Drosophila melanogaster: one gene and its partners. The protein of the gene in region 3 interacts with the protein of the main gene of each other region in a pairwise test. Each region holds a gene or a part of one and is shown on either strand. Other genes may lie near its edges.

Region 1 (3,374 bases), on a different chromosome or scaffold from region 3:
TATGACTTGGGAATATTTATTTTCTTTCGCTCTCTGAATTTTTACGACAGACTACTACGTTGGGGTTTCCACGCTATGGCCAACAGAACTTTTCCAGCTCAGCTTGGTTTGAACTCCGTTAGACGACTGAATCGCTTTGTGCCCAGCCATCGCTATTTTATACGTCCGTTCTCGAGTCGACAAAAAGCTCGGCTTTCCGCTTCGGCTTTCGGGATCGGGGGGCTCTATATATGTATATGCATATAAGTATATATATGTATGGCTAGTGCGCAGGCGCTTCGATGCTCGTGAAAAAAATATAAACACAAAGCAGCTGGCCGAGCTCAGCTGTTTCTTAGCCAAAAGCCGGCAACAACAAGCCCCACATGTGGCCAACTTAGCCGAAAGGGGGGAGTTTATTGGTCGCCAGGGGGGGTGGGGGGTTTGCAAAGCTTCGGCATTGCCGACTGCGCAAAGACAATAATTCCATGTTGTTCTTGCCCACGAAAAACCAAATAAAGCAAGGTAAGCGCCTAAAACCCAAACAACAGCAGCAGCAGCGCCAAAATATCTGTGGGGCTTTAACAGGTGGCAATGTCATGATTTCACAGTACACAAAATAATATATCTTTACATACATAGATAAATATAGATATCTATTTATCTGAAGTCACTGGTTTTGAAAATGGTTCCGAATCTTTAGTAAGTAAGCCTTACTTAAGGTTTCATAAAAAAAATATATTATATAGTAAGAAGTGCACGCTAAGCATTTGACAAAAATAAAATGTATTTATATTTTAGAGCATAACCAATACAATATTACAGTTTCCTAACTATTAATTTGTTTAAATTAGTATTTAGCTGTAATATTTTCTTTTTCATGCATAGCGAAACAATTAATATATGTTTAAATGATTATCAGATGACATGAAAAAGTATTTTTCAATAAATACATTAATTTGCACAGCAAACGACTATTGAAGTAATAAATTACTGTGCAAATTTTATAACAAAATGTAAAATTTTTTATGTTTTATGGTTAGGCATTTTCATAAAAAAAATTGTCAATTTTTACTCCAAGTGCTCTTTATGAATATTGTCATTATTGCACGCAAGAATTGTGAATTTTCGGCGTCATTAAATTAACTTAATTGATTATTTTCGTTAAATTAATTTGCACGTTTTGTGCAACAATTGTTTACATTTTATCGGTTCATCTGTTGACTGCCAATTCGCAAAAAAAAGATTTGTCGCAAAAACTTCGACGCAAAAACCGAAGCAAATCAAATCAAATCGCACCGCAAAAGTAACGACTGAAAAACTGGACAAACTCGCTTTAATTAGAAGCAAAATAATATTATGTAGACGGTATAAAAACGATATTTGGTACTTAGACATGTGAAATGGTAAATATTAATGCGTGGCGAGTTCCTTGAACTTTTATTCTAATTTATTTATTTCACCCAAATCACGAGGGTAAAGTCAGAGATTTAACAATAGCAAAAAAACATGGATATGAATATTCTAATGTGCCAGATTAACGTTTATTCTTAATCAATTATAAACAGGCACAAAAACCTTAACAGAAACAAAACACATTTTTATATAGTTTCTAAACTCTCGAGTTTTTTATGAATTATTTTTACTATTGTAGTTTACAATTAGTTATTAGGCATAATTCTTATATCATATTTTTAAGCACTTTGTGATAGTTGTGACTGTTGTTGAAATTTATTTTCTTGAAAAGAAATATACATATTGTAATTTAGATCTTAAAAACTCATTATATGATCTATTTTTAAGGATCGTTTTTCAGCACTGATCATGGTTCTATGACTAGGATTTTATGAGTTGCCTGATCACAGAATTTTCGGTAATTTTAACCGCTCTTAATGCGGTCGCATTAAAAAAGCAGTTAATTACAGTTAGTTGCATTTTGCAAATCTTATTGCACGTTTTTTTTTGTCGTCTTTTTTGTGCTCGTGGAAAATATTATTTGTAAAATTACCGAATGGAGCGCTACAATCGCGTCTATAGAGGTAGTATTGCTAATACTTTTGTAAACAAGTTTAAAATATATCCTTTAACTTTCAATAGATCCCGCATCCCCACTGACCCCACTCACTCCCCTCTCCACCGAAGCTTTTACATTCGAAGATGTCACGCCCACTGGAGGCGTTGGCAGGAAGGGTACCGCGAGATACGGACTCTTTGGAATGCCGAAGAACAATAATCTTACGGTTCCTAACAGTCGACCGGCATTGTCCGGGTTAAAACGACTATCGGAATCCACTTTGCCCCGTCGATTTTCACAGAAATTTATGCGCACGCGTTCCGTATTTTCGCCCACAAGTCAAAGTACCCTTATAAATGGGGAGACCAGGCTACTGGGAGAATCTGGAGATTCGAAACTACTGAGAACTAAGAGAGAAGACAGACCAAAGCCGGATATCCGACTGCAGCAGGAAACGCGGCTGAGGCAGGAGGAATCCAAGTTGAAAAGTGCGCGAAAGATTAAAGTGGAGGACCCAAGAAGTCCCACTCCCAGTATCCATCATTCACGCTATAAGCCCTGCTCCCCGGTGGAGCACCCCACTTTGAGTCCTCGGGTCAAATCCCTGCTCGATCGCACCGGAAACGCGCATCTCACAGAGCTGTTCACGCGCCAGGAGATCGACATCGAGGTGCTCATCCAAATGACCCTGGAGGACTTGGCGGCACTGGGCGTTCGCGGCGCCCGGGAGATCCGATTGGCCATGAATATTATCCAACTGGCCAAGCAATTCTTCTGATTTTATATCCTGTAGGATTTCTGCTAATTTTAAACTGTTTTATGTCATGTGGATTTGAATTTGTATGTGAGATTTTAATAAATGTTTAATGTGGTCTTGAAGTATTTTTGCGCGGTGATTGGGGCTTGGGATTGGAACTCTATTTTTAATTTAATATTCATTTAACATTAAGTAATAATTTTTCTCAGTGTATGAACTTAGCTAAAAACATTAGTAAAGTCACAAACCATAGAGTAAGTCGCATTAATCCATGTCTGAACGGTATTTATTTTAGTATATTTTTGCGGCACGCTAGTATGCTTCAAAAGTCGATCCGCGGTCACACTGAACACGTGTTTCGAACAAAAAGCCGTTTAAACAAAATATCCACGTTTTTATCAAAAAAGCAATGGGCAAAGTGAAAGTAGAGCGCTCCGAGGATGCCGATGAGTCCGTTGTGGCCAGCGGCGATGTTACCATCAAGGAGGAGGAGTCCTACGACGACAAGCTGATCTTTGTGAACGCCATCGCGAAACCGATGGCAGGTAAAAAACTGGCCAAAAAGTGCTACAAACTGGTGAAGAAGGCCATGAAGCACAAGACTTTCCTGCGAAATGGACTTAA
Region 2 (7,920 bases), about 14 Mb from region 3:
CTCGTTCTCCTTCTGCTTGACCCGCTGAACGAACATTTGGCGCACTTCCTCCTCCTTGGCCTGTAGGCAAGCCAGATGGTCGGATCGCTTCGACTCGAAGGTCTGTTGGAAGGAGACCGGCTGGTTGTTGCTGTCCACGTCCACAAAGCCCATTTGTTGTAGGCGCCGCTGGCGGAAGAGCTCATAGTGGCGTGTGTGAGTCTGTTCGCGCAGATCCTCCATGTTAGTGCGAATGAGCATCTCGCGCAGCTTCACAAAGTCGCAGTGCGCCTCGTTTTCTATGTGCACCGCTCCCCATGGATATTGGCGGGCACGAACCTGCTTTCCGGCCACCTTTACAAACTCCGTACTGCCAACAACGGCAAAGGGTAGATGGCCGTTCATCGCAGCATTTGTTTCGGACACGGTTTCGTCGTCCATGGGAAACTGGTATATGCTCACATTGTTCCGCCGTAGTTCGTCCATTATGCGTTCCTTAAACCCCGACAGCTCCGACTTGGAGATGGTGTCGGCCTTCGCGATCACGGGAATGATGTTCACCCTAGTGTCAAGCTGCTTCATGCACACCAAATCCATAGCTTTCAGACCATGGCCCGTGGGACAGATGAAGTACAGGCAGGCGTGAACGCGTCCATCATGAGCACTGGCCATCGCTCGCTGGATCTTGAGCTCTTCCTGCAAATACGCTTCAAACTGGCTGTCCACGTACTCCACCAAAGCCTTGTAGCTGTCCGCTTTATTAACCTGATCTCCGTATCCGATCGTGTCACAGACGGTCAGCTTCAGGCGGACGTTGCTCTCCTGCAGCTCGTATGTATTTGCCTTCAGCTTCACATTGGGCAGGTTGTGCGGGCTCGGTGTAGATCCAAAACTGGTATTGAACAGTGTGTCCATGAGAGTGGATTTCCCGAGAGCGGTCTCGCCGATGCATAGGATATTGAAGCTAAAGCCATTCTGGACGCTCTTGTTGACCAGCTGGTCCGGTAGGGTGTCGAACCCCACGTGGCCGCCGAGTTGAAGGAGCCTGGGGACTTTGGTTGCCACCTCCTGCGTCTTCTTTTCAGTCACTAAATGAACCATTTCGCCAGTGCTTTCGTTAGAATAATGTCACGACCCAGCGCAGGCGCCACTCTTTATACCCGGAATTCTCGTATGTGCAGCCTGTGTAAACCCTAGTCGTTTTTCTTAATAAGCCATTTGGATTTTCCTGCATCTGGTGGCGTACCGAGAATTAAACTGTATCTAAGAGTTTTCTACCTGTGATTCCTTTTACCTGCAGCCTTGACGATTTTAAATGCGGTGCCCGCCTCAGTTGTCTATCGAGACAGTTCTGCGCGACTATATCGATTAAAGCAGCTTCAACTAACATTTATCAATTGCAGTTAAACAACGATGGATTATTCGATCAAAATGAATTTTATTTATCAGAAAGATAGTCTTGCGACAGTACATTTTATATATGATTTCTGGACTATGACGCCACGGCTGGCTCGAATGAAGTCCCATCTGGACGTATTATATTCGATGACTTTTTCCAACATTTGTGGTCATATATCGGCAATAACACGGCAAATGTTAAGTCGGTCGCGATTTTGAACAGTAATGCCAACTTAAAGTTCTCCACCTCATAAAAAAATCCTTTACAAAACGTATATCGCGTTGTCTTAATCTCGCGTGTTTTAAAGATTTATGATCTTAAAACTTAAAAACTTTTATTGTTATATCTAAGTTCGCCGAAATATATTACAGAAATAGAAACCTATTAAAAACTACATTGAAATTATATATGATTATAACTATGTCATTATATAAAAATGAATCAAACGTTTGGCTATAAAATGGACAAATATGGCTCGATACCATGAACGGGACCATCAATGGCGATAGCAAACACGTATCGTTATCGAATACCGCAGTTAACTTTCGACGCATACAGAATTTGCAAAGCCGGAGGAAATTGAAGAATTTGTGGAATATCCGCGACTTAATAGTAAACTAGCACTTAAAAATAAACATCCAAAAAAGCCGGAAGTGGTAAGAACTCTAAAAACGATCTGAATTGCTCTGATTTTAGAATTTTTCCGCCTAACGCGATTTTCTTTGTTTGCGGGGCGCCGCCATTTTCTTTTTACCTGACCGCCGCTTGTCTTCTTGCATTTCGCCCGTACTTTCACAAAGCAAATCTCGAATTCTTCGCAGAATCCCCGGAACTAAATTGCCAGAAAGTTCTCAGGCAGCACACACCGAGTTAAAGCGCCCCGGAATAGCCGCCCATGAGTAGTCATCGAGACGGAGCCGGAGCCGATCGTATCACAATCAAAATTCACAACATGAAGCGTAGCGCCTCGCGCTCCCCGGGCCCGGCCTCCAGGAGCAGTTTGTCGCGCAACTCGCGAAGCATGGGTCGTGGGTACGACAACGGCAGCGGCGTGCCTGGCGATTCGCCGGAGCGCCTGTCGCCGGAGCGCATGCGACGTCGATTGGACCGCTCGCCGAGTCGTTATGGCTCCCCGCACCGGGAGCCCTACATGCGTGGTCCACCGCCTGCAGAGCGACCAGCTGGCTACAAGGTACTTTGCGTCAGTGCCCTGCCGCCAAAGGCTCCGGACGATTTTATCGAGGAGACACTGTACCGCGAGTACAAGAAGTTTGGCGATTTTAGCGTGCGACTGGCGCACGACTTGGATGAACGGGTTGCTTACGTTTGCTTCCGAACGCCTGAAGATGCACGCGAGGCGAAGCACCATAAGCCGCGCCTGATCATCTACGACAAGATGGCCATTGTGGAGCCGGTGTACAAGTCCACAACCAGACCGGAATATAGGTGGGATTTATTTTTGTATTTATTTTGTTAGCCTTGGCTAATCTAAGATGCTTTGCAGACCACGCGGTCACTCAATGTCCCCACCGGACTATGAACGTTACCACTACTCGAGGTCCCCTATGGGACAAGGCGTTCCTTTGGATCACCGTCGACCTCCGATTGATCCCTACGATCGGTACGGTCCTCCCCATATGCATCCGCACGCAGTCCATCCACGTGATTACCGCCCATTGCATCATGACTATCCTCATCCGCCACGCGGACCACCTTTGCATCGCGGCGGCCATCCGCATCACCTCCATGGCCATGCGCCGCCCCATCAGTATGCTCCAATGAGGCCATTGGCACCACGCCCACACGCTCCCTATGAAAAGCCTGAGAGCAAGAAGGACAAGTTCCCCAATTACTTGCACCATGTGCAGCCCGAGGATGATCCTCTTTCTACGCGCACACTGTTTGCAGGAAATCTGGAGGTTACCATCGCCGACGACGAACTGCGTCGCATCTTTGGCAAATACGGAGTGGTAGATGACATCGACATCAAGCGACCGCCGCCGGGTACGGGGAACGCGTTCGCGTTTGTACGTTACCAAAACCTGGATATGGCTCACCGAGCGAAGATCGAATTGTCTGGACAGTACATTGGCAAGTTTCAGTGCAAGATCGGATACGGGAAAGTGACTCCGGCAACTCGTATGTGGATCGGAGGCTTAGGTGCCTGGACTTCTGTCACTCAGCTGGAGCGAGAGTTTGATCGCTTCGGTGCGATCAAGAAGATTGAATACCAGAAGGGCGAGCCGTACGCTTATATTCAGTACGAGACAGTGGAGGCAGCCACGGCGGCGGTAAAGGAGATGCGAGGATTCCCATTGGGTGGACCGGAGCGTCGACTCCGCACGGACTTTGCCGAGTTGCCCGGCGCCACACCGGCAGCGCCTTTCAAGAGCTCAAAGCCGCCATATGATGAAAGTGCGTTGGAGTACAGACGTCCGGAATACGATCCGTATTACGAAGAGTCCGCCGCCTACGCTCCGCGCGGTGGCTATTCTCCGTATCCACCTAGGGGTGGCTACCGTGGACGTGGGGGATATCGCGGAAGAGGAAGAGGCATGTACCATTATCACAACGACGTGCATAGGCCGCCGCATCCTGGCTCCTTAGCAGGTTCCTCTTCTTCAGTTCCCCCTCCCGGCGGAGTGGAGGATGAGTGGCGACGCCCGCCAGGAGAATCGTACGACAGAGGAGCCCGCTCCAGCTCTCGGGAACCTGGTGTAGAACGCTCTCGTTCTAGATCCCCATTGAAGCGGGCTCGCTCTCCCGGATCTGATTCTGACACCTCGACTCGTCGGAACGACGCCCTTGCATCAGCCAGTACGGTTCCAGATGTGGCGCGCAAGTGCAGCACAGTGTGGACCGGAGCGCTAATCCTCAAGAGCTCACTGTTCCCAGCCAAGTTTCATTTGACGGACGGAGATACGGATATTGTGGAGTCGCTGATGCGCGATGAGGAGGGCAAGCACAACCTACGTATCACCCAGCGACTGCGTCTGGATCCGCCCAAGCTGGACGACGTGCAAAAACGTATTGCATCCTCATCGTCGCACGCCATTTTCATGGGTCTGGCAGGGTCCACAAACGACACCAATTGCGACGATGCCAGCGTGCAGACGCGACCACTAAGAAACTTGGTTTCCTATCTTAAGCAGAAGGAGGCGGCTGGCGTGATCTCGCTGCTTAACAAGGAGACGGAGGCAACTGGGGTGCTGTACGCCTTCCCCCCCTGCGACTTTTCCACAGAGCTGCTAAAGCGCACTTGTCACAGTCTGACGGAGGAGGGCCTGAAGGAGGATCACCTGGTGATTGTGGTGGTGCGCGGCGGAACGGCCTGAGCTGGAGCGGCTGGCGACGGTGGGGATGGGAGGACAAACTGTAGGTAATAACTAGCCACAGTGCTCAAGGAAAATCTCCGCCACATCTAATTATAGCATAGCAGCCGTAGTCGTATCTTAGCTCGTCCTCTCCCAAGTGGAGGACACCCGGGGGCCACATACATGCAAGGGACGTGTATGCGGCTCCTCCAAGCACCGCACACACGCACATACACACACATGATGCACACATACAGAGACAGAAGCAGAACCGAGGAGACTTCACCCACACCTCATGACCCAAAAACCCCGCATTAATTAACCATTAATTAACCTTCTTTTGCAGACAGGATCTCTCTTTTGGTTTTAGTTCAAGTTCTCGATGTGTTAGTGACAGTGAAGTTTATACATCCTTTTCATTATTGTGCTAAAAAGTTTGAAAAATCGTTCATGATTGTATCTAAAGCTACCCATACAAATTATCCAATTTTATTATGTTAAAGTGTACAACAGTATGAAAACAACACGAGTAAAAACAAAAATCAAATATTTTCCATAAAAAAAACTCCATTCGAGTGTCCGCATATGATCAACAACTAGTGCGAAATAATGTCGATGAAAAGTTTTTGTGTTCCTTAAAATTGATTTTCCATTTTGATTTGTGTTACGCTGATGATTTTGCCTTTGCCCTTTCGTTTGTGTTCGATGGCGAGAAGGCAGTGCGACCAAAAGTGCGCCCAGTAGTGGTCTGATTGTCCAGTTGGGTCCAAAATAAGATTGCAAAGTGGCTCCAGAAGTTGTTTGCAGTGCAATTTCCCAATCAGTGCGAAGTGCTTAACTCCAGCTGAGTTTCAGTTCCCCTCGATCTCCAAGAGGTTCTTTGGTGTTTCTGGCCGCTGGGTGCGTGAAAGTGGCTGGCGATTCCATATCGTGTTCCGATCCCCGATCAATATCCGTCTTCCATCCGAAGAGAGAACGTCGTGTAGCATTTGCTCCAAAATGTCTATGCTGTTTGATTTGGTTTGGCAATTGTTACATTGGTTTTCTTGTGGCTGCGCTCAACAGAAGAATAAGAATAAGAATAGTGTTTTGTTTATAATTTATGCAAGCGTTCATGCTACATTTGTTTCAGTGAGTTCAAGTGTCATTCCACGGACCGAGATCAGTTTATACACAATGATAATCCAATCCGAGCAGTTCACCCAGTGCATGTGCTGTGTATGCGTGTGTTCGCAAATCTATTATTTATATATATATATATATATCAATCGTAATATGTACACTCAAAGGTAGTAATAACGATCAAACGCAGTTGTCTTGCATCATTAGACGGATGTTCGAAAGTAATTTATGCTTCAACAAAATATTATATCAAACTATTGTACTGATATCCAAATAAACGACAACTATCGCATCCTACGTGTTAAAAATGTGAGTTGTGAGTTACAGTGCAAGCAAGTGTTTAAGAAAGTGAACCATCTGCTGACCAAAGAAGGTAACGAAATTAAGCACCATTGCTAGCATCAACATCAATTTTATTACCAAGTGGAACGCGCCAGGGCCCTGGAATCGCGTTCTTAATCGTAGTACAGGTAAAAGGTGGTGCAGACTGCAAAGTACGAGGGTCTCTCCACGCTGTAGGTCACAAATCCGTCTTTTTCAGCATCCCACAGGAAGTTGACCATGGAGTAGAGGCCCTGCATCAGGAACTCGCCCACAGTGACCAGCACTATGTAGCGATATCTGGGGCGAAACGGTGGTTAGTTAGACAAAAACTGACCGCCGAACCAAAGTCACCTGTCGTAGTTGTCGAGTTTGATGCGGTTCTTGATTTCCTCGCTCACTTGCGCGGCCATGTGGAGGGAATGCTTGGGATGGAACATGTACTCATCGTTGTAGTGTCGGTTCATCACCGCCTTTATGATGTTCTCCACGCGTTCCTTGTTGAGCGGATTCTTGGACTCCAGGCGGTAGGTGGGCATGAACCGCATGGTGGGCTAGGCATTAAGCAGATCTCAGGGTATAAACACAGCTAGCTGGGCATTTAACGGACTTACCTTGGCTGCCGGAGCACCCATCGGCAAGGAAACGCCCATATGGGACTTGGTCAGCGATCCGCGCTGGCTGCTTGCCGGCCTCTGCATGTCGATGAAATGGGAAACCGAATATGCATGTTAGTTAGGCCACAGCTAGAAGCACAGAGATACCCAAACCCCCAATAGAATCCCCACAAGAAATGGCGTGACTTCGTCAAATTTTAGACGAACCGTATGGTTCCCGTGTTCACATCCCGTTACAAGCATCAATTCATTAAAAAGACATCAATACCCCATTGTAACCATAATGGCAAAATCAATCGTATACCTTCTCACGCTCCTGGCCCAGATAAAGATTCACCAGCCCCGACCAGTTCTTCGCTGCAGCGGCTGCCATTCCTTGCGAATTAATAGAATCGAGTCGGCTCGAGTGCGTAGAGGTTAGCCATAAAACCACAAATGATTATGCCATTAAGTCATTCCCTGCCAGATTACCTGACGGCCTGTCGCCGTGGCAATTCGTGGCGTTTGGCTTTGTTGAATCAATAAAACCAGCCAAATTATGCGCCACTTGTCAGCCCAACTTACCGGCTTAGTGCCCTCGGCCGACTTTTCTTTCTTCTCCTTTTTGCCCTTGCCAGTTTCCGCCTCCTTGGCGGCGGTCTCTGGCACGACATCCTTGCTGCGCCGCTCTTCCGGTGAGTCGCCCATGATCACAATGTTTAACTTGAAATGCTTTTTAGAACTGAACTGGAGCAGAAATATACTAGCCAAGAAGACGAAAGAAAACGACAGCCTGCTAAGATTGTTAAGAAATTGAAAGATCAGCTTACAACAACAATTAGTTTACACTTTATTTGGTTTGCTATATGTGTGGGAATATGCTTCACATTTCGGGTCGGTCTTGCGTTTAAAGTATACATATGAAACATATACACACAGTCAGTAGACAATAATACACATCCATGTTACGATATTTACGTTATTACTGGGTGGTGGTGCTCTTGTGGCCACAAAACATCAATTACATCTATATACACATATTTAAATATAAATATACTCGATACGCTCGGATTCGGTTAAATACACACCTAATAAATTATCTATAAAAAGTAAAACAATAACAGTGCGAATTCTTGGCCACATTTCCTTGTCTTTGTCCTGTTGCTTCCACTTGTTTGAGTCCAGGACT
Region 3 (4,705 bases):
TAATGTAGTAATGTATAATGTACTATAGGCTTATTGGTGGCAAGCGATTTATCAGCGGCATCTGGGCCACTTCAATTCCAATAATTGCAGCCCAGCGTGTGCCATTTATGGCGAATTATTCATAATTGCGATTGCACGTGAAGAGTGCAGAGGAGGAGCTTGAGGTGCAAGCAGCGTGGAGCCATTGAAATTAGCCATCGGCTAGAGTGGGACGGCGACAGGCGAACGACGTGCCCTGGCTTTTCCGTTTTTCCGGCCCGGAGCGAAAGGAGCGCACGGAATATCGACAATTTGGCAGGTCGCCCACGGCAACCGTTGGCAGGTCAACGGGCAACAACAAACCGAAGCTCAAGACAGCAATCTGAACTCAATCTACTGCTGAACTGTGTACTTGATTGGGATTCAATGCTACTTCGGATTTACCGACTCAGAAGACTAAATAATTACGATTTTTTTTCTTCTGAGAACAAAAGTGATTTACATAATCCTTGAGCTTTTGATTTGCTTTAAATGTATCTTTTTCTACTTAGACGTGAAAAGAGATAATTTTAAAGGAAGTCTGCTGTAGTTACATACATAATTCATTGTTAAATTATCATTTAATACGTTTAATGGCTCTTGTTTTTTGTAAGATCTTTCAGTGTTCGATTTCCTTGGAAGGTGGCTAACAACAAGTTCTCTGCTGCCCCTAAAAATACTTGCTCAACTATTGTATTGACTGCAATTTGTCCGAGTCCTTCAAGGATATCGCCTCCGATGTGGGAGGGGGTACAAATTTGCAAAACAGAAATTATTCAAATGTTCTTTGGGGGGCGGAGAGACAAGATACCCCATCGGTAGGGGGCGTGGCAGGGGTTCTGGGGCACCGACAACGGCAGCAAATCACATACAGGAAATGTCACGCTATGTCAAGCCGCAGGCCAGCAGGAAAAAAAATCGTACAGCCGAAACGAACCAAATCACACGCTCAACGTCAGAGCGTGTTGTTGCAGGATATGGGAGAATATCAGTTGGGTAGGTGGGAGGCTAGGGGCGTGGCACGGTGGGGCAATGAGGGGCGGCGCAGGTTGCCCTACTGTTACGTGTTTGCAATCGATTTGAAAGTTACATAAAAACAGAGCCGCAGCAGACCAAGGGCAGAAAAGGGAGAAGGTGCCAGGGAAGTTGGTAAACACCTGAGTGGCCAACAAGAGCGTCAACAACAACAACAACAAGAACAACAACAGGAGCAGCAACAAGGCGCCAAAAGCAATTTGTGCGGCGAACTTTTTATTGTGTTTGCCTTCTGAGTAAACTGACCTACGCATTAAACATGCAGGAAAGTTAAACATCAGATATAGATACGTATACATACATGTATGTACTGGACTCAGATACTCAGGAGGACGAGACGAAATCCTGTCCATGGCGATGGCGCCGACAGGTTACAGTAGAGCCGTTAAAGTGGAGTCCTCACCCATTCATTTCCACACCCAAAAACCGCTAGAAGCAATAAAATTTCACAAAACAGCGAATAACAAATGTCTGCAGGAACAGTAAACACTGCCAATAGGTAAACCAATTAGGGCAACTATTAGAGATAACAGTCAAGTCGCTTTTAATGAACAACCCCATTATTCCATTTCGCTTTTCCTTTGTTTAGTTAGGAAAATTGGTCGACTATTGTCTAGAAAATCAACTCGAAGTTGATTTGAGGTTTTTTTGCGAATTGCCTAGATCGTCAAATTTCTTATTTAACTTAATTGCAATTCAGAATATGGAAAAAAGGTGTAGGAATCAAGGAAACCTACTAATTTAGAATCCCAGGACAACATGCAACCGCACTTTTTTTTACTGGCATAACTTGGTTTTCAGCACACAGGCTTCACTGTGGCAGCTGCTGAAATGATTGCGGCGAAGTTTTCTGGAGGTCGTTTAGAGTGGAAAAGCGCCAGCTCCGAGAGAGGGAGAGCGATAAAGAGGAAGAGAGACGGAATGGAGCGAAGGGGAGGGCAGCAGGGGTCCATTACGTCAGAGCCAGAAGCCATTTGGGTTTTGTCAAAAATTAGCAGTTAGGAAAAGCGAGGAAAACCCAAACGAAACCAAAGCCAAACATACACAAAAAAAAAACGAATAACGAATAAAAACGAACATCATAAATGGATGAATTAGTACAGATATGGCGAGCAACAAGAACAACAACGACAAAAACGTGCATACAACAACTAACTGTTAACTAAGTAAAAAGAAGAGTGCGCAAAATATACAATAGTGCTAATTGAAAAACAGATACTGGGATGCAAATGAAAAGTTTTAGATGAGGCAGTGTGTTTTCTTTTCTTTTTAATGGGGGCGAGCGCAGAGAGAGAGAGACAGGATAAGACAGAGAGAGAGAGAGAGAGAGAGAGAGGGAAGAGTAATAGATAACTGCAACAAAACAAATGCAAGCGGAGCGAGAGGGAGGGGAGTAGGATTAGAACTGGTTAATGTTATCTTCCAGACCCGCCCCTCTCTTTCACACCTTTCCAATTGGCATTTGTTTTGTTGTCTGTTTGGCACTTGTATGTATGTTAATTGTGCCCGTTGTGTGCGGTAGTGTAGGTGTGAGTGCAGGTGTGTGCGTGGTTGGATTTAAAAAACTCACCTGACGCTTTCCGTTGCTTTTTCTTCTATTCTTTTGTAGGCCTCAAAATTGAGATAAAAACTACTACCGCTTTTTACCAACGCCTTCTTTTTGGCTAACAAAAAGAGACCGTTGTTTTAACTGCACTGTCTATGAAAAAATCAATATTCGGTCTCGACCAACTTTTTTCTTCACCTTTTCTTTTACAACTTGTGTAATTTCTGTGCTCGTTCTGTTTCATTCACTTATTCTCTCGCTCTCGCGCGCACGCACACACACACACACGCCCGCTGTTCGCGATTGCCAGTAATTTTCGGGGATCAATTTCTTGTAATTTCTCCAGCTGCTTTCAAGTCTTTAATTCTCGGTCTCGATGCAGCGCAAAGCAAATTTGATAGTGATGGGGAGAAACATCGATGCATCGGGAATCGATGTTTTCATATAGGTGCTATCGAGCTAGCCGATATTTTAGAAATAGTATCGCCGACCAGCGATACATCGTCGCTTATCAAAACATCGGATTCTTAAATATTTTTGACTTAAAAATGTAAATGTTACTTATTATTGGTGTCTAAAACCTTTACATTTCTTTAAAAAGGTATTTTACGATGCTTTTTTTTTCAATGTTACATTTTTGCACTTCCAATGTAATGTAATAGATAATCCAAAACCTATATTATTTTAATATATTGTGAATATTTTGCTTGTAATGCTCATAACAGCAAGCATGCGGTTGGGTAGACATAAATACCCATCACTAATCAGCTGTTTCTTGCGTCCAGAGGAAACGTCGTGCGTTTGGCGTTTGATTGAGTCAAATTCAATTTGTTAACTAAATTCTTTCGTGCAGAACTGGATAGCTGATCGAAGAAATCCGTAAGCCAGGCTCACATGCATCAAAACACATCGGCCAGCTAGCAAAATCCGATTTCTTATTTATACTCCAATTACAGACATGCCGCGACGCTATCAAACAGCTCTCAATTCGGCCAAATACAGTGCCCAGGTCAAGACCAAAACTAGTGACAACGAATCCGATTCCGAAGATGATCTTCCGCCGGATCAAGATGCTGAGGATAACAATGAGCCAGATAATCTGCGCAGCATTTTGGAAAATGCGCCGCACTTCTCTTATCCCGGCTTGAACACTGGAATGTTGGGCCAACTCTTGTACGATCATCAGGATAATCCGAAGCAGGACTTGCCAAATTGCTCGGTTACGGTGCCGCTACCCCTCTTCCTGGCAAAGGATGGACAAACTCCCCGAGTGGAGGCATGCGTCCAAAGGCCATTCCGCTACGACGATTGGACACGGCAATTGCAATTAGGCAAGGCTATATTTGATAGGCGACTTAAAAATATGAGACAGCGTGTACAGAAGCAGGAGCAAGGTGTACACGATGCCAGTCTGTTTGAGATGGCTGAGCACATAGCCCAACAGGAGAATTCCTTCTTCAGGGACAGCTACGATTACTACTACACAGGCGGAAACCTAAACACGATTCCGTTTGATGGAAACGATCAGCTGGCCATGCATGTCAGCGGTAATAAGCTCAGAGATTTGCACTTTTCCCGAGATTATGGTGAGGCGGAGTTTTGGCAACCATTGCATTCGGCTACGATAGAGGAATCCTCCAGCGAAGTCTTTGAACTTCTTCCGCTCCACAATTTAAATCGCAGTCAAATGTTCCTGGCACGGTTGCTGAAGGAGGTTTCCCTATACGAACTTAAATGCAAAGACGAACAGGATTCGGATTCAGATTACGAACTCATTCGCCATTGCATGTTTAGCAGTCAAGTAGCTCCTTTTACAAGCGCTGCACAATCATTGGCCAATGCCAATACATTGGCCTTAGCTAGCCAGGATAGGTCTTTGCGCTTCGTGGATATTTCGACACAACAGGATATAGCCAAGCTTGATGTTTGCTTGCTAAAAGGACTGAAGAAAACCTCGAGTACCTGGGCACAGTTAAAGCAAGCAGAGGAAAGCACCTTTCACTGCCTAACACAGCCAGTTTTGTTTACCGTAGATGTGCGATGCAATCTGCCTCTGAATCCCTGCTTTGCCAGCGGCGTTCACTCAAAAGCTTGCGAGAGGTTCTC
Region 4 (7,195 bases), 5.9 Mb from region 3:
ATATTATTGTGTTGCGAACTTACGTACAACTATTTATTATAATCTTACAAGTGTATTTATTCTCTGTAAATAGCTTTAGATCCCACGAATACCGTTTATCTATGTGATAGTCTACAACGTTTTGCTGAACTCCACCTATAATTTATTTCCTCGGTATTCACACTGCGCTTAGCTGTATAATTGTTGACTTCTCAATACAAGATGAAAAAACATATACACATATTGATAACTAATTACAATAAATAAAACTTGTCTACCGTAAGCTTTAAAATCTGCTGAATCTAAGGTTAATAGCCATACGGTGGCAGCGGTTAATCGTATGTAAATTAGAAACCATTACTTTTTCATTTTTAAATAATGTCGATTACACGATTTCTGAGTTTATGCTTTATGGAACTTATTTATTTTTGATAAGAACTGATTTTTCATGATTCATAGAACTAATTTATTTTGTATTTTACCATTAAGAACCGATTTTTATATTGTACTTAATCATGAACTTTCCCAAAGTTAAAAGTCATTATTTTCAATTAAATAATTCACTTTAATTTTCATCCTATGTCCTAAAAATATATATTTACAATATGCGACTCCTAATGTCTAGAACTTAAATAGGTATGTACTCAATAAGATCACACAAGTTCATTTCTGTACTGAAAGCGCACACAAAGTGGCATCTGTGTGGCCCAGAGTGGCACGGCGAATGCTTCAGTTCCAATTTATCCATGCCTCCGACGGATCACACCGCTGTCGTTGGCAATGGAGCAGGAGGACCAGATCCGGAGCTGGGTGGAATCTGTGCCGCGCGGGAGGTGGATGGCTCCATCGGTTCCATTGCGATGACAGTGGCTTCTGCGGCGGACGAGGAATGTGGATCTGTCTCCGAATACGGTGGCGCCGGCAGTGCCGCGATTCCAATGGGACTGGGTACACCGAGGGGCGATTGGGGAACAGGCATTCCAGCCGCTGCTGCTGTGGGAGTGGTCAGGTTACACATGCGCATCACCTCGTCGTAGCTGGGTAAATCCTTTTCATCCTTTTCCAGTTGATCGCGAATGCGGTTGGCCTCCACGCTGCCGGGTTCGATGAAGAAAATGTCGCCATAGCGGTTCGATGAAGGATCCTCCTGTGCGTTGAATACATTACGATCTGAAAATAGGTTAAGAAAAATAAGTGAGTAGTGAATAGTGAATAGTGAAGTCTTTAAACATATAAAACTCATAGGACGAATGATAAGAATTTAATTAAAGATTACTTGATTACATCATATTGATATTTGGGTAATGTCATTTAAAGGAGAGTTGTTTTATACACTTCGAAATATTTGTATATGTGCAGTTTGATTAACCCACACAACAACCTTGTTATTCGTTAATTAATTAAAATTGGAAACACTGCTCTAAACACGACCTGATAAGCACATTTTAAATGGGCTTCTAAAAACGAGTTGATTAGTCATATTAGCACTCCAAATTTCACACACACAATAAACACTTTTGAGGATAATATTTCTACCAGTGTGACCCAAATGGGCTATGTTCCATACCAGCTTGTATCTGGCGACGATTTCGAATCCTTGAGTCGTGCATTCGCTTGGCCAGCTAACAAATAGATAAATCAGTTATGGGCTTCTTTACTTCAAAGCCATTAAGATAAACTCAGCTTGCAGGATTAACTACATACGTATATAAGCTGGGCCACCGCGAACATGCAAAACACAAAGCCCAGCGCGACGCTCAGATTAGCTGTCAGACCCATTCCGCAATTCTCGAAGACTGGCCAAAAAGTAATCGCCCGAACCTAACCGATTAGATTGGCTTCCTGCCCACTTTCGGATTGGCACACGTTACCAATTTCAATGCCGTATCGCTGACGATGGTGCTCTGGAATCCTCTGCTGACGTCGACATCGCGGCTGGCAGATCTTTGCCAGAGTTTGGCTCTCTACGCGGATGTAGTAGCAGGCCAGCGGTAGTACGCAGAAAAAGAAGAACACCAGGGCCAAATAGATGGCTATGTGCAGGCCGAAGCCGCTGCCCCAATCCAATGTCGGCTCCGATCCGTGCATGATGAGACTTAGAACGACGCGGAGCAGGAATCAATGCCGAACTACAGCCACCAACTGCGTTTTGTAGACACTAGTATTACCCATAGTTCGCCGTTCAGCACGCAATTGATTAGTCGCCCAAGATTAGATTGTCCGCCATGTTTGGTTGGCATTACCCCATAAATGTTACTCCATATATCAGATATACCATATATACGGTCCGGCGGTTTGCACACACAAACCAAAGCCAGTGTAACTTACGAGAATCTATTCGATGGTTTCGATGTCTATAACACCAGCATTTCAAGATCCAAACAACAGCGAACTTTGGGGGAATAAGAACAGAACTTGGTTACCAATCACCATCGAAGGGATTTGCTGAATCTAAGGATCACCTGTAGGGCTGCATAGGCCACGATGCCGATCAGCAGGCGTAAAAAGAAAGTGGCTATGAGTTCCATTTTGCAACGAGCTCTCCAAAAGACTGACCCCCCAAAGTTACTGATTTGCAATATTAGCAAGACGTTCGAAATCAGCTTATCACGAAAGTCCACAAAACAAACACTCTAGGCTTTATGGATTTATGGTAGCACTTGATCATCAAACCCACCCACACACAGTCACTGTTTGTATCAGTTAGTCAATACATATATAAAACCGTCAATACATCAATACATCAAGCCATCAGAGGCAGTTCAAGCCATCAATACATACCAGTACGCTGGCGTTGACGTTGTCGTCGACGTCTACGTCTTACCGGATCTTGAAATCCCCGAGGATTGGTTCCACAGCACTTGTTCAGAATAATCCATAGTATAAACTTTTGGGGGAATATCAAAGAAGTGATGAGTGAAGGACTAAGGAAGGAAACTTATATCCCTCGCTTAAAGTTAGGTTCAAAAATGTGGTGGACAGATACCTGAAGAGCGAAATAGACCATGGGCATGATCAGGAAGAAGATAAAGAACAGCCCCACATAGAAAATAAAAAAATCCATTGTGTCAATACCCGCCAGAAAAAAACACACAATCGAATCACTTGAATGGCGAGTTAAAACTGAGAACTCTGCAAAACGAATTTCTAGCTAATCTTATCTGGGCCAAGAAACCCATCTGATTGGCCAAGTATCTATATATATACCGTCCGATAGCCACCGAAAATAAGTCAAATTTGGCTTGTTTTGAATGAAGCGTACCATGTCGGCGTCTGCGACTCCTGGAATCCCTGGCCTCGAAGCACACCCAAATGCAGAATCTCAGGCAGCAGAAGGTGACCGCACAGGAAATGAAGGCCAGGAAGAAGAACACCAAATACGGCGGTATATTCGACATTTTGTGATCCGAAAATTCGGTATATCCACGTGGATACGCGAGCACCGGCGATGTTATTCGCTCCATGAAAAGGCCTTAGGCCAACTGTCATAATATGGCGCGTCGCTAGCTTTTGGCCAAGACTTATCGGCGACTGGGAAGAGCGCGGATCGCGGGAGCGGCGGACAGGTGTGTCAAGGGCCATGTGATAAGCGCTCGACGCACAGAGTCCGATAAGATACGCCTCGCCACTATCGCTGTCTCAGTCGGGCGGCGTTCTATTACCTGTGTGCCAGCTGTAAAAGTATCTGTATCTGACAGATATGCGCATAATTACGCTTTGGATAATGTCATCCGGGCACGTGACAGGCGAAAGTCGCGAAACTAATTAAGGAAGCAAATGTCACATAAATCAAATGTTCTAGATTATACTTCTACAAGCACTTGAAAATTATATAGATCGTTTGGAAAACTTTTTTTTATAAACAATTGTAAATTTCTTGCAGTGCAAGAACTATTCTGATTATCAGATTTTCTGTTATTTAATAGATTGGGGTAGATAAGATTTAATTTAAATTTTTATCTGTACATGGTATACTTAAAGAAAAACAAGTGTCTAATAAAAAAAACATGTTATATGATATTTTAGAAAACCGATTAGTTTGCGAATGGAAAATTGGTATTGAAATATATTCATAATTTTCTCTCTTTAAATTCATTCAATGCCATGTTCAAAAAATCAGTTGACACTTTGAAATCTTCCTAATTAAGTAATTTCTTATACTCATTGAATAATAACCAAATGCTTCTTTCTCATGTCTTACAACCCATTATTGTAAATGAACATTATAAGGCATTGACTTTAGCCAAGCGTAAAGCAGCGAATATAGCTGAATGTGTAATTAATTCATAGCGATTCATTTGTAGACAGACAAAGGAACATAATTTAAAGGGCGGAAGAACATTTTCGCCATCAAAATGAATGCCACAAATCACTGCGGGCCACCTGAGCTGCTCACCTGGCGTCCAACTGAGACGACTACTCAATCCCGGCGACGAGGGACACGAGGAAACGAATCTGCTCAAGGGCGGGCTAACTGGCAATCTCCTTCGACGCTTCTGGGCTACACATCTCTGCAATTATCTGGCGGATTCACTTCCATTTGCATTGATAGCCACTAGTTTTGGGCCAAGAACTCACACTGATGGAAAAGTATAAAATCAGCAGGAAGAGGAGCAGCAGGACACCGAACTCGCACCAACGGAACTGGTCGCCCATTTTGCGGAATATCTATATGGCCGAACTGCGACCGTACATCTGAATAAATTAACGCTACTGTCGAACATTGGGAATCTAACCGAACAACCGAACCCATCGATAAGGGAGGCACCATAGATAACTTTATCGAAAAACGCTTGTGACTCATGGCTGCTCACCTGTGCTGAGGGTTACTCCTGACTGATCGATTCTATAGCTGTGCAGAACCCTTCCGGGCTGTCGATTTGTTGGATTCTCCCCAGGACCAGGACCTCGTCCTGGACCACGACCACTTGAGCTGGTTCGACTAGGAGTCTTTTGTGTGGCGCACAGACAACAAGCCTACAGGGTCAATAGGGGATCGTTGTCATCAGACAGGGGTTGAAATTTTGCGATAAATCACTTGAGAACTTACTCGAATCAGTATGCATACAATTGAGATTATGAGGAACCAGCCAATCATCATAAAAGCGTAATAGGGCATTATGAAATTGAGAACTTAAGACCGGAAGTCCAGAACAGACAACAGCACCGATTTACCACCGTTCGCCGCGCACAAGAAACCTTGCTGAAATGGCAAAGGCAATGCCACTCATTGCTAACAGCCTAATCACCAAACAAAACCAAATCGCACATACAACCCTTATCAATCGGCATACAATTTTGCGATTAAAACTAGGCATACACGCGCACAGCCAACGCAATCGGTGGTCTCAATCGGGCTGAATCGGGACTTACGCACCTGGGGATTGGCCCCCTGCCGAAAAGCTTTCGGTATCGTAGTCCCCGGAGTTGATGTTCCTTCTGCTCTTGTAGCACAACTATTGGGGGTAAAGACGGTGATTAAAGTTATAAAACACACCAATCAAAATCAGGAATATAACTCTATTACAGTATGGTTTGCTCTTGAACTGTACGAAAGTCATGATTATAAGCATATTTAAGGTATATCAATCCTCAAAAGTAATAACGGAAAAACCAGAGATATGAGTGTAGTAGTTATTACAACATTTGTGATACAGCTTACTAACTTACGCACCTTGAGATAAATTACTCCCGACATGGGAATTCCCTGATTTCATGTTATTCCTCACGTTGTAGCACAACTATAAAAGCAAAAACAACCGAAATGCCTTTGAAAATCAGGAATATACCCCACAGAAAAGTGGCAAAGGACTCTCAGAATTTACAGGATTATATAAATATTTAGAAATATGTTCAAAATATGTGAAGCTAGTGTGTGCTCTTCAGCTGTTAGAGGAACATTAAGATATATTCCTGATTTTGAAAGTGCAGACTTACAACAAACACCAGGAAAAATAATAGTGAAATGTAGAATATGTCGATCGCTTCCATTTCTCGAGATGGATTAAATAAGACTGTTGGGTATTTTTCGAGAAACGACGTAGAATGCGATTCAAGTTGTTGGCCCATATCTTGGAGAACCCCCATCGAATAACAGGCATTATCTTATCGGCAAAGCTTTTGCAGCTTTTTTTCGCCAAGTTATATAGCCAGAAAAGCCTGGATCTTACCTTCCATGGCCAGGCGCAACATCATCTCATGGCGCAAAAGTCGGGCATAAACCCGCATATTCCACTCGTCGATCTTCAACTTGATGAACAGATAGCACTCCTTGGGATTGGGGTGATTTGACTAATGATATCTAATCAACGTTGAGATTTCAACCTACCCGAGCGAGTAGCAATACGAGAATGAGCACTATAAATGCAAAGAAGCAGACCCCTACATACATTGGACCCAACTGGACCCTAGCTGGTGATTTTGATAAAAAAAAAAAAACAATAGATTCTCTCAAACTAATTTGGAAGACTTGACTAATAGAAGCGGAGTTACTTGGATAAACTCACCAGATTCGTGCCGATATTGCAGGCAGCAGACGCACTTCCACTTGTGATTGGGACAGATATAGGCCTTAATAAATGTTGAATTAGGCAAAATTCTACAGGAGGATAAACCAGCCACACTCACCCTTATCAAAATAAGGAATATCAGAATGAAGGATATAAAGTAATACACCTCGACGAGATCCATTTTGAACCGAGTCTGGGAAATGTGTGGCAGCAAATGAGTCGAGGACCACGGGAATACGAAATTAAGACCCGGGAAAATTGTGATAAAGCTATTTCGATAAACAAAGATAAAGTCAGCGTTGCATCAACCTGACAGCTTGGGTAATTCTGCTGGGCTATCAGATAAGCAAATCAGAGCTAATTATAGCCAAAGGCAATAAACCTGGCATGTGCGACCAGTTACGAGTTAGTTATCAACTGTATCTCTAAGCCTATTTGTGTACTATACAGCTCCCTCTCACCATTTCGTGTGTCGTTGGTCCGCTCCGATCTAGGCCTGTAATCACTGCTCTGGCCAGCTCTCTTGGCCTTGTGGTAGGCATTCGAAAGGAACTGTTTTGGGATAAAGAAACGGATATCATGTAGTGCCCACTTCCGGCTCGAGCGTTAGCTACTCACGACTATAATGAGAATGATGACCAGAAGCACCACGGAAAACGAACTGAACTCTGCACCCATGACTTTGGCAGTCCTCGCGGAACAAGTGC

Evidence for each region.
Region 1: the proteins of MESK2 (region 3) and gnu interact in a two-hybrid assay, tested with the Drosophila melanogaster proteins (one large-scale study listed by BioGRID).
Region 2: the proteins of MESK2 (region 3) and nito interact in a two-hybrid assay, tested with the Drosophila melanogaster proteins (one large-scale study listed by BioGRID).
Region 4: the proteins of MESK2 (region 3) and CG12963 interact in a two-hybrid assay, tested with the Drosophila melanogaster proteins (one large-scale study listed by BioGRID).

What each region holds. Positions count from the first base shown.
Region 1 is NT_037436.4:14,801,876-14,805,249, reverse strand, and holds gnu (giant nuclei), read left to right. Parts: upstream 1-1,889; 5' UTR 1,890-1,990; coding exon 1,991-2,018; intron 2,019-2,076; coding exon 2,077-2,771; 3' UTR 2,772-2,870; downstream 2,871-3,374. Other genes in the region: NHP2, read left to right, coding at 3,160-3,374.
Region 2 is NT_033778.4:7,960,570-7,968,489, forward strand, and holds the start of nito (spenito), read left to right. Parts: upstream 1-1,893; 5' UTR 1,894-2,034; intron 2,035-2,199; 5' UTR 2,200-2,273; coding exon 2,274-2,824; intron 2,825-2,882; coding exon 2,883-4,713; 3' UTR 4,714-4,757; exon of another isoform or gene 4,758-6,171; intron 6,172-6,208; exon of another isoform or gene 6,209-6,269; coding exon of another isoform or gene 6,270-6,435; intron 6,436-6,489; coding exon of another isoform or gene 6,490-6,689; intron 6,690-6,749; coding exon of another isoform or gene 6,750-6,830; intron 6,831-7,056; coding exon of another isoform or gene 7,057-7,125; exon of another isoform or gene 7,126-7,148; intron 7,149-7,316; coding exon of another isoform or gene 7,317-7,439; exon of another isoform or gene 7,440-7,455; intron 7,456-7,559; exon of another isoform or gene 7,560-7,920. Other genes in the region: Septin5 (septin 5), read right to left, coding at 1-1,080; CG14763 (uncharacterized protein), read right to left, coding at 6,270-6,435, 6,490-6,689, 6,750-6,830, 7,317-7,439. UniProt on the Drosophila melanogaster protein: RNA-binding protein that acts as an associated component of the WMM complex, a complex that mediates N6-methyladenosine (m6A) methylation of mRNAs. M6a modification plays a role in the efficiency of mRNA splicing and is required for sex determination.
Region 3 is NT_033778.4:21,500,398-21,505,102, reverse strand, and holds the start of MESK2 (misexpression suppressor of KSR 2), read right to left. Parts: upstream 3,007-4,705; 5' UTR 2,624-3,006; intron 1-2,623. Other genes in the region: TAF1C-like (TATA box-binding protein-associated factor RNA polymerase I subunit C-like), read left to right, coding at 3,558-4,705.
Region 4 is NT_033778.4:15,555,769-15,562,963, reverse strand, and holds CG12963 (uncharacterized protein), read right to left. Parts: upstream 5,290-7,195; 5' UTR 5,253-5,289; intron 5,179-5,252; 5' UTR 5,099-5,178; coding exon 5,030-5,098; intron 4,957-5,029; coding exon 4,794-4,956; intron 4,695-4,793; exon of another isoform or gene 4,636-4,694; coding exon of another isoform or gene 4,558-4,635; intron 4,491-4,557; coding exon of another isoform or gene 4,376-4,490; intron 3,728-4,375; exon of another isoform or gene 3,444-3,727; coding exon of another isoform or gene 3,242-3,443; intron 3,105-3,241; exon of another isoform or gene 3,044-3,104; coding exon of another isoform or gene 2,966-3,043; intron 2,867-2,965; coding exon of another isoform or gene 2,761-2,866; intron 2,533-2,760; exon of another isoform or gene 2,508-2,532; coding exon of another isoform or gene 2,442-2,507; intron 2,372-2,441; coding exon of another isoform or gene 2,308-2,371; exon of another isoform or gene 2,068-2,307; coding exon of another isoform or gene 1,851-2,067; intron 1,789-1,850; exon of another isoform or gene 1,759-1,788; coding exon of another isoform or gene 1,684-1,758; intron 1,602-1,683; coding exon of another isoform or gene 1,547-1,601; intron 1,150-1,546; coding exon 740-1,149; 3' UTR 528-739; downstream 1-527.